3 linked regions of the Coturnix japonica genome follow. The protein of the gene in region 1 interacts with the protein of each later gene in a biochemical or structural test. Links are inferred from orthologs where the notes say so. Each region holds a gene or a part of one and is shown on either strand. Other genes may lie near its edges. The genes, in order: AP1G1, SYNRG and CLINT1.

The links.
Region 2: the proteins of AP1G1 (region 1) and SYNRG form a complex in vitro, tested with the Homo sapiens proteins (2 studies listed by BioGRID). The link is inferred for Coturnix japonica from reciprocal best matches to the Homo sapiens genes AP1G1 and SYNRG.
Region 3: the proteins of AP1G1 (region 1) and CLINT1 form a complex in vitro, tested with the Homo sapiens proteins (2 studies listed by BioGRID). The link is inferred for Coturnix japonica from reciprocal best matches to the Homo sapiens genes AP1G1 and CLINT1.

What each region holds. Positions count from the first base shown.
Region 1 is NC_029526.1:17,664,281-17,667,932, forward strand, and holds part of AP1G1 (AP-1 complex subunit gamma-1), read left to right. Parts: intron 1-1,265; exon of another isoform or gene 1,266-1,377; intron 1,378-2,364; 5' UTR 2,365-2,367; coding exon 2,368-2,568; intron 2,569-3,652. UniProt on the Homo sapiens protein: Subunit of clathrin-associated adaptor protein complex 1 that plays a role in protein sorting in the late-Golgi/trans-Golgi network (TGN) and/or endosomes.
Region 2 is NC_029534.1:7,340,154-7,343,010, forward strand, and holds part of SYNRG (synergin gamma), read right to left. Parts: exon of another isoform or gene 2,834-2,857; intron 2,827-2,833; coding exon 2,791-2,826; intron 1,667-2,790; coding exon 1,535-1,666; 3' UTR 1-1,534. UniProt on the Homo sapiens protein: Plays a role in endocytosis and/or membrane trafficking at the trans-Golgi network (TGN). May act by linking the adapter protein complex AP-1 to other proteins. Component of clathrin-coated vesicles.
Region 3 is NC_029528.1:12,966,800-12,970,551, forward strand, and holds the start of CLINT1 (clathrin interactor 1), read left to right. Parts: upstream 1-1,588; 5' UTR 1,589-1,775; coding exon 1,776-1,816; intron 1,817-3,752. UniProt on the Homo sapiens protein: Binds to membranes enriched in phosphatidylinositol 4,5-bisphosphate (PtdIns(4,5)P2). May have a role in transport via clathrin-coated vesicles from the trans-Golgi network to endosomes. Stimulates clathrin assembly.

The sequences.
Region 1 (3,652 bases):
CATAGACCAATGAAAGGAGTGGGATCAATCTCCTCTTTCAGAGTGAGCGTACACATAAGTGATTATTAATAAAGACATTGTTATTAATGATGATGAAGTTACTGCCTGTGGGCTGCAGAGGTGTGTGCCTGTGCCTGGTAACTGTTGAGTGACGGCCTGAACCTCTGAGCACCTGGGGAAGGACAACCCAGCCCTGGGAGCTCAGGTGACGGAATTGAGTTGTGCAACCAGGAGCGGCGGAGCCTGGCTGCACCTCGCCTGGAACTCATTGAATCCTAGAATCATAGAATCACAAGGTTGGAAAGGACGTAGAAGATCATCTCGTCCAACCATCCTCCCTTTACCATACCTACAGAAAAGTACTAAGCCATGTCTCCTTGCTCCCTATCCAGGCACTGAGGGCTGACTGCCACTGGGGAAGGATCTCTGGTTGGAGATTCCTCCTAGTGGAGTCTTTCCTGTGGGCCTGGGTCTTTGGAGATGGGTGAGCTCCTTTATTTTCCCGTTGGAATGCCATCCTGTCTGTGCTGGTCCCTTTGTTGTTACACTCCTGTATTGCCCTTCCACTGCATTAATCTTTCCGATTGTAACAGCCTGCAGTGGTGTTTTAATTTTATTTCAGTTTCTTCCCCGTTTTCCAGTGTCAAAAGCAGTTTGACAGTGTGTTTGAAGGGGAGGGGCTATGGAATGGGGACTGGACTTAAAATTCTGGGCTTTAAGCGGGATGTTTTGGGGTTTGTCAGACTGTTACATAAAAAGAACACTTTGTAGCAACCACACACAGGGAGAGGCTGGGGAAACAAGAGAAGGGACTCTTGGTAAGTAATGTGGCACAGCGATGTTTTAAATGCTGGGTGCCATGCTTTCCTCCCCTGTTTCGGAAAGGATGCAGGAGAACTGCGGACCATGCAGACAAGGCAATAAGCATAACCAGTCATGGATTGGTTCAGATGTGGGTCTGCAGGTCTCGGATTGAAAAGGTGGGGGAGGAGTAGCCATGGAAGTGTGTAAAACTAGGAGTTCCTCAGTATTACTAACTAGGTAATTTGTTATCATCTCCATTGAACTATTTGGGGCATCAGCTGCAACAAGGACTTGAAACTGCAGAACAAACAAATGAACCACCTTCCCTGTGTTGTGCTTGGAACTCCAGCTGTGACTTGCAGAATATTGTTGATTCTGGAAGTTCACCTGGATTCAAAATAAAAACAGAGTCATTTGTTTATTATTTTTATTTTACTGGGCATTATTTCTTTTCGCTTTAGAAGTTCTTATGCTGCAAATTGTTGCAGACTGCAATAGAACAGAAGTGTTTGTTTGCATGCTGACCTGGCTCTTCCAGCCTTCCATGGGATCCTGCTGCTGTGGTCAGACCTGGTAGGGCCATTGTGTTTCTGATCTTCTTCCCGTCTGTGCCCATGTAGGACACTGAAGAACTGTTAGATGGTGTTCTTCATGTCAAAGAGCGATCTGAGTTGAAGTGAGGGACCAACTTTAATTAAGAGGAACTTTTATAGGAGCCTCAAAGACCTCTACCAACACAGCACATCGAATAGAAAGCTAAACCTCAACAGATGTTATGAATTTAGAGAGGTGGCATCATCTTACCTGATTCCAGAATAACTTCTGAAATAGACAAAACTCATCCTGTAATTTTTTACATTCACCTCCAAAGATACGTGCCCACAGACAGGCTGTGGGGCTGCATAGCGGGCTGTGACTGTCAGTGTGTTACCAGCCTGCAGTGCCATTGTGCACTTATGTTTATTGCTTTTTGCTAAATTACTACAGAGTAAAGCAGCACGTCCAGACAACAGCTGCCAACAAAAAAGCACATGCTAAACAGGAGCTCTAGCTTACTTTGCAGTAACTCTTGCATAGTTACCTAAATTTTACAAGACATTTAAAACTGTGTTTTCCTTTTCTTTTTTTTTTTTTTTTTTAATAGTTCAGTCTGAAGTTTCTCATTCTGAAGTATCCTGTGCAAATTATTGGGCAGTTGGAATGTGAGGGGCTGTTTGGTCAGAAAGAGCCAGAAAATATGAACATGCCTTGCTGAGTAGTGTTCTTACCTATTCCAGACTGGGAATCATGTAATGTTCACTTTATAGCTAGTTCAAAGCTTAGCAATTTCTGTTTCTCGAAAGGCAATTGTGAAAATTTCTGTTCCTCGAAGGTACAGTAGATTCCTGTGGCCTTTAGGTTTGTTTTTAACCATGCTGCTTGGAGCTGGCTGCCTTTTTTTAATTCTTACATTTATGTAGTTGTAAGGGAAGAAAGAAGAATATGCTAAACTGAGACCATAATGAAGTTGTCAGATACAGTAGAAGGCTTATAGATCTCTTTCTTTCTTTCTTCTCCCAGAGGATGCCAGCCCCCATCAGACTGCGGGAGCTGATCCGGACCATCCGGACAGCAAGAACCCAGGCAGAAGAACGTGAAATGATTCAAAAGGAATGTGCTGCTATTCGGTCATCCTTCCGAGAGGAAGATAACACATACAGATGCAGAAATGTGGCAAAGCTGCTGTATATGCACATGCTGGGATACCCTGCACATTTTGGACAGGTAGGTTAGTCTTCATAGCTGCTATGCTATGTGTGTACCAGTATGCTTTGTGTGTTTTGAGTGCATGGGCTAGTTTGGAGCAAGACTAGTTTTGCTTTTTGGTGTTTTGAGGTCTGTCCTCATACACCCTCTGAATCTGTGTTAGTTAGTTTTGACTATGATAAAGGCACTTTCTACTTGGAACCTGTTCTTATGTATTTTGTTATGAAACTTAGTCTGCTTTACCCAGGCTGTCTGCTCCTTGCTGCAGATGTGTCTTGCAGAGCAGTAGTTAAACTGCAGTCTGGTGAGTATGAGTATGTGATTAATTACCTGTTAAGAGTGAGATATTTCAGTGTGTAGTAATGTTAGTGGCTATATTTTTGAACTAAGAACATTTTAAGGTTAAAAATTGGTTAGCAGCTTAACTGAAGTCATCTGAGTGTAAGTTGGCAGCTAGATGTGTTATCTAAGGAATTTCCTTTATACTTTAGAACAGAGTTGATATATTTCTACGTGACGCAAGGGATGTTTGTAGTGGCTACAGTGCATGTGAGTTTACTAAAATTTCTGAAGTTTGTACAGAAGTTACAGAATTACAGGACAGCATAAAAACTTAAGTATATCTGACTGTATCTGTATCTAAAATTTAACTAGTTACAGATCATAAACATCAAAATTGTTTTTGACATCTTAAGAGAGCAGTGATTCTCTCCCTGGGTAGATGTACCCACTGAAGTGCAAAAAAAAAAGAAAAAAATCCAGTGTATATCAAGCATGACGTATTCTTGAGGTTTTTCTCTGGATTTCCAAGTGTTTGTTTTTTTTTTAAACTGATGATTCTTGTCCATATGTGTTATCTTTCTCTTCTGTGCTCTGATCTCACTTAACTGGTGTATATGAGGTAATGGAAGGTCAACAGTGGATTGTTTCTTCAAGACAGCAGACTTACTGTTGATTTTGCTACTCCATTGCTGGGTTCTTTGGGCAGGTCATTCAGCCTTTGTTTTCCATATCATCAAAATGGAAGTAAAATGTACTTTTAAAAATATACTACCAGAGACCTACATTAGTTAATATCAGAGTTCAAACTCTTCTAGCTGAG
Region 2 (2,857 bases), on another chromosome or scaffold:
CTGAACTATCCTGAAGTGTTCTCTGACCTCTTCCACCAAGGAGGCAACATTTTCCTCTTTATAATTTCAATTTCAGCAAATAATTTTGGGTCAGTGTCGGTTACTCACGATGGAGGCAAGGCAAAGCTGGAAAAGCTATTGATATCCTTGGAGAAAAGGGTCTTTTGACTTAAGTCAAAGAACTAAGCAACAAGTTGTACCTGATGGATACACACCATGCTGCATTCTCTGCAAACTGAGCAGAACTGTACAGAGGTAAAGCTCTTAATGCCATAGAGCTTCCACTGGGCTTAAAATTCCATAAGTAGCCGCTGGTGGTACTGTCATTTGCATGTTGTATTGGAAGAAAGAGTCAGGTACTTCAGATGTCTGGGTAACACTTTGCAATAGTCTGCAATAGACTTTGTCCTGTTTAGGTAGGTCCCCCTCCTGAAAGCAACAGAACAGCAGATTGACAACAGGCTGCTTCAGCAGACAGCCTGCTTGAGGAGCCAGCTTCCAGAGTGAGATCACACCTGTCCCCAGCAGGAGCTGAGGCCCACCTGTGCTGCCACTTCTGGGAGTCAGGAAAATGCATTATTACAGACAGCACTAGAGTGCACATGTTACATGCAGGCATCTCATCAAGGAAAGCATGTTAACATACAAAAAGGTAATATATACAGGAACAGACACGTGGCAACAGTGGAGTCCAATTTTCAACAGAGATGCAGCCACACAACCACCAAAGCACTGGGCAAAACGAACCCAACCTGTAGTTTAGGACAAGTCCAAGAAAGGACATGACCTAGTGTTTGCAGCAGAACAGCACAGATTGCAAGTTCTCAAACCCAGCTGTCTGCACTAAAGAACCTGGATATAAAGGGGAAATCTTAAACAATTTTTCCAAGTTCTTATCTTCCAGTACTAACCACTTATGTGTTTAAATATGGCATAATTTACAATTCAGAGTGGTAAAAGCATGAATATAGAATGTCTCTCTACCATCTACTTCCTCCTTTATCAGTAATTCCTTTTGCCTTGAAAGTAACCACAACTTGTGCACTATGTGCATGTAATAGAAGAGCAGCAAATATTTAAAGAAAAACATCATGGTCCAGACACCAAAAACATTAAGAAAAGATTTGTTTGCAAGTATGAACTTGGAGTACTTAAGCAGTCATTTCTATGCAAATCAATCTAACATTCCAGTTCACCTTGGAAACTAAGGATGTCCTCTCTGAGGTCTGCCTTTGGTTAGCAGACGGCTTGTTTGTTTGACAAAGGCCAGCTCGCATCCATCTTGGTAAAGATTGAAATGCCACATTTTCTGCCACTTGACAAATTTTCCCAGATATTTCTGAAACTCCAGCCATTTCCAGGAGAATTCTTCATGCTGAATTTCTGTGTGACAGTGGCTTGAACTTGTGATTGTACAAAAGCCAAAACGAAGCATTTCAAACAAAGAAGCATTTCCACTCACTCGATCACACAATTTACCCAAGCGCTGCATGTTATCATTTCACCTGATCCTCCACCTTTGGCTCAACCGCTTTCAGAGCAGGTCTGGCAAAATGAGACCAGGAGGCTTTGGCTCCACACAGTTGATCCAGAAGTTTGCGCAGCTCGCATGGTACTGGTGCCCTCCATACGCCAGCTTAAAATTATCCGTTTCCGAATTAAAGGCCTAGAGTAACAAGAATTGAAACAAGTGTGACCGTCTCACCTCTTCCACGCTCCAGAAACTAGAGTGGAAAATGGACATAACGCAGACGATCACCCCAGAATGGTAAATCATGGTAGAGCCTGGACCCTCTTTCTCCAAAGTGGAATAAACAATCTTCACTTGCAGAAGCACAGCAGCCAAACTAATGCTTTCTTCTGACTGCAAAATGTCTGCAGGTGGGCAAAACATACTGCCCTGTATGCATACTCCTGATGCACACTTGTCTGTTACACCACGTATCAGTAGTGTCCCATCTGACACTTGCAACTCACTGCGTTCCATACACCTTCCAGAACAAAGCTAGTTCTGCCACGCTGCCTCCACTGGGTCAGACCCTGCTGTGACTGAGGCTGGTGCTAATGTTATCCTACCGTACTCCAGGCTGAGTTTGGTCCACTTTCTTCTGGTAACTGAATCTGCTTTATGACTGGAGTGCATGAAGCCACAAACAAGCTTAAAATATCTCCACGTATGTTGCTAGGAGATACTGCTTAAATGTGAGGGGGAACTGAATTTTTATTTTTAAATAAATCTAGACTGTTTGTGAAATAATGTTGACTTTTTTTTTTTTCCCAGTTCTGAAAGAGAACACTTAGCAGCTGTTCCTACTTCAGCAGAGTTTCCAGTGCTTTACAACTACCTACTTAAAAAATATTCTAAACATGTTTCTCAGATTCTGGATTTCCTGCACAGACTTCTAAAAATGCCACTGCCTGCTGCATATAGACAAAAGTCAGTTTTTGTAGCAGAAACCCCTACAGCTCCCCCCTCTTCTGCAACAGACAAGCAGGCAGCTATGAACTCAGAAACTCACTGCAGGGACTTTTCTACCACACAACAGAAGGAGCACAAAACCAGAAAGCTATTCACGAGGTACGAGCATGCAGACGAGACAAAAGGGAGGCTGTAGAGCATGTTAGTTGATCGGATCAAGTATTAACAGTGACAAAAAAAAAATGACTGGAAGAAAAGGGTTCATGATTGGTACAATTGAGAATGACAGCTGAAGGCCAGCTAGCAGTTCAGCCTTTCACACTCAACTAAGAATGATTCTATAAAGAATGGGTTTTTTTACACGTTCATACTTTTTTGGGAAGCTCTTCCACAGGTTTCTCTTCTTTCTGAAATAACGTTGAAACCAAAAAGTCAGCA
Region 3 (3,752 bases), on another chromosome or scaffold:
CACCAAATCACAGAAAACTGAAAATGAGAAAGATATATTTCAGGACTAATCCATTCACATTCACCAGTTCTTGCATTATTCATATAAACACATAGTACTTACTGTTAGTGAGAGGATGCTACATTGGATAATTCATTCAAGATGTTCTTTTGCTCAATTAGATTTCCCACAGTATTCACTGAGATGTTCAGAAGACAGAAGGTGTGAAAGTACCTGTGTAAAAAGTCAGAGGGATGTCAGAATATGAGCTGGTGATCAGCTGTTCAGCTTTCTTGATCAATTCAAAGAGCTACCAACTATCAAAAGATGCAACTATTACTTGACCTACAAGCTAGAATCCATCTTTCTCATGCTTTTTCGGGTCACTTTAAGCAGTTAAACCAGAAGGCAAATGTTTATGATTATATGCTGCTCTTAGATAAAATTTACAAATAAATACTGCAGTTAGACAAAACACACAAATAAATAGATATGAAGGATATCAAGAATAAATTACAGACTAACCATGATACCCAGGCACTCTGCTTTGTCCTGTGACTCGCCAACAGAAATAGCCAACAAATTTCCACTTCTCTTGAGAAGAAAGTCCTCCCTCATATGTGTTCATTCAAAACTCACAATGAAAACAAATTGATAGAGCGTGCAAGTGTGTGTAAAGAAATCATCTCGGAATCCTGGTCATAATGTCACTTAACTGACTTCACTTTTCTTCACTAGGAGAGTGGTTAGGCCCTGGAACAGGCTGCCCAGGGAGGTTGTGGATGCCCCGTCCTTGGAGGTGTTCAAGACCAGGTTGGACAGGGCCCTGGGCAACCTGATCTAGTAAATGTGTATGTTTGGTGGCCCTGCCAGGCAGGGGGGTTGGAACTACATGATCCTTGAGGTCCCTTCCAACCCAGGTAATTCTGTGATTCTGTGTGATTCACTTCTTTCATCCAACGAGCTGCAATGGCTGTTCACTGCTCCCACAAAGGCAGTATTTAAAGATGGTCTTCAATGCTTGGTGAAAACTCTGCTCCAGGTGAAACCTATGTTAAATTAGTTAATATGGATAAGGAAGTTTTAACATACAAGATTGTCCCTTGTTTTCTGCCAGTTTCTGGTCCTCTTGCAGGCCTTGAACCCAGCAAGTTCAGCTATAACTCAGGCAATGCACTGACCGGTAAAGAAACAGTCTGTAAGGCAGAATGCCATTGTGTAATGAGCTTTTACATCCAGTCAGACACAACTTTTCCACCTGTGTTTTGAGGTTTAACAGCAATTCGTACAGACCTTCCCTACGTTTGTGCTTCACTTGGCAGCCAGGTGAGAGTTACCCACAGGTTTGGAGCTGTGAGGGTGGTGTGAGGGCTGTGGCTGCTCAAAGAGAGAACAAAAGCTCGTTTCCACCGCCCTGTATCGCTGCGTTTCCTTCGGCCCTGTCTAAAGGAAGGGAGATGGCGTGAGGTAACGCGAGGTGAAGCGCCGCCGCCATGCTCCCGTGTGGGAAGAGCCACGCACTACAACTCCCGCCATCCCTTGCGCGCTGAGACGTCTCTCCGCACCCAGACTCCCAGCAGGCTTTGCGGAGCCGCTCGGCAGGCGGATAGACTACATCTCCCAGCAGGCAGCGCGCTCCGGGGACCGTCCATTTCCGGGAACGGCGGCGCGTCCCTCGCTTGGCAGAGGCGGCGGCTGCCCGGAGCGGGCCTGGCTCGGCGGCTCGGTGTGAGGAGCCTCCTGGGGCCGACGGCAGAACGCGGTGAGACCGAGGAGGTCTCCGGACTATCGGCGCCATGCTTAACATGTGGAAAGTGAGGGAGCTGGTGGACAAGGCGTGAGTAGAGCAGGGGCCGGGCGGATGGGGCGGGGGGGCTGGTGTGGTTTGGTGGCGTCCCCTCAGTCGAGCCTGCTCTTCTCTCCCCTTCCTCCCCCTCAGCCTCCCCTCTCAACATGGCCGCTGTCCCTCCTCCCCCTGCTGAGCTGGCTGCCTCTCTCCCATTCCGTGCCCGGCCGACCCCTGCCCTCACTGTTCTCTTTCCCCGCTCCCTATGTGGGCCAGGTGCCCCCTGGCTGCCCCCTGGCTGCCTCCTGGCCCCATTGCTGGGCAGCGGCAGCTTCTAAGCAGCGTGTGGCCTTCCCATTATGGCAGGCTGCCTTCCAGGCCCTGCTGGGCTCTTTAGGGCCTTTCAAGCTCCCGACGAGCTGTGTGTCCCCTTTGGATGCCCCCCCTTATCTACTGAGGTCTCGGGGCTTCCGTGCCTCTTTCTATCTGTGAGCCCTCAATGTCAGTGTGCTGCCTGCTGGGGACGTGTCACTGCAGGAGGAGGAAGGGGTGTGAGGAACCACCTGTATGGCAGGGAACCACCGGAGTGCTGCCAAAGCTGCCACGTTCACTCAGTCCTTTTCCTCCTTGCTGAGGCCCGAGCCCTGCTGCAGTTACCATTGACTCACCACCACCCCTGGGCCTTTCATTCCTCCTCCTGGAGGAATGAAATGCACCATCCCCACCCTTACACTTTTTTTAGTAATTCAGATATTTGCAGGTTTACTTCCTTGTAGTTATTGCCCTCGTGATGTTGCTGTGACGTTATCGCTGTGTTTTGCAGTCACGCTTCTTTTCCACGGGGAAGGAAAAAGCCGTGTGGTGGTAGAACATAATGAAGATCACATTTTGCCTCCTTAAATAATATGTCTTTAGGGGGGAACTAGGAGTGCTTTTCCATGAGCTGTTAACTTCTTACAGGAGCAGTTTGCTGAAGTTTTGGAGGTGATTACACACTGGATGAGTCTGTGTGTTCTAATATCTGTGTCTGGGCTTACAGGTCAGACAGCATATCTTTCAAAATCAAGGTTCCTTTTGGGGCTTTAAAAAACATCTGGGAGCCCAGGGAGGTTGTGGATGCCCCGTCCTTGGAGGTGTTCAAGACCAGGTTGGACAGGGCCCTGGGCAACCTGATCTAGTAAAGGTGTATGTTTGGTGGCCCTGCCAGGCAGGGGGGTTGGAACTACATGATCCTTGAGGTCCCTTCCAACTTGGGTCATTCTGAGATTCTGTGATCTGAACAGTTCTTAACTGTCTTCTGTTATATGGAATAACCCATAGATACCCATCTTAAGTTCCAGGACTGAAAAACTTCAGGCAGCATTGACTTTTGCGTACATACCTCAGTTTGTGTAGTAGTAGCATTGTAACACCGTTGCTATATTAAAAATGCTTACTTTCAAGAGTATTTTTGTAAGCTGTTGAGCCTAACAGTGCATCACAGTCTTTGCTGGAAAATGCACTGGGTTTCCAAATTAAGTGCAAGAAATGAATATTTCAAATTATCAAAATGTTTGTTGAGTAAACCTCTGTTTCAGGGAATTACTCTGTCCAAATAAAGAAAATTATTAATTTAGAAAAAGAGGGGGGTAAAGTGCAGTGCCTGAAGAGTGAACCGTATTTAGAGACATCAGAATCAATAGCCTCATTGTGTGTGGTTCAGATTTGCCGTAATGTCTTCGGTCTTAAGGCCACAACTTACAAAATTCTTTATGGAGGAGATTAAGGGATGTTATCTGCCTTTCTTTACTAGGAGAGTGGTGAGGTCCTGGAACAAGCTGCCCAGGGATGTTGTGGATGCTCCGTCCCTGGAGGTGTTCAAGGCCAGATTGGATGGGGCCATGGGCAACCTGCCAGGCAGGGAGGTTGGAGCTGCATGATCCTTGAGCTCCCTTCTAACCCGGGTCATTCTGTGATTCATAAATAACTGCTGATCCTGCATCAGGAC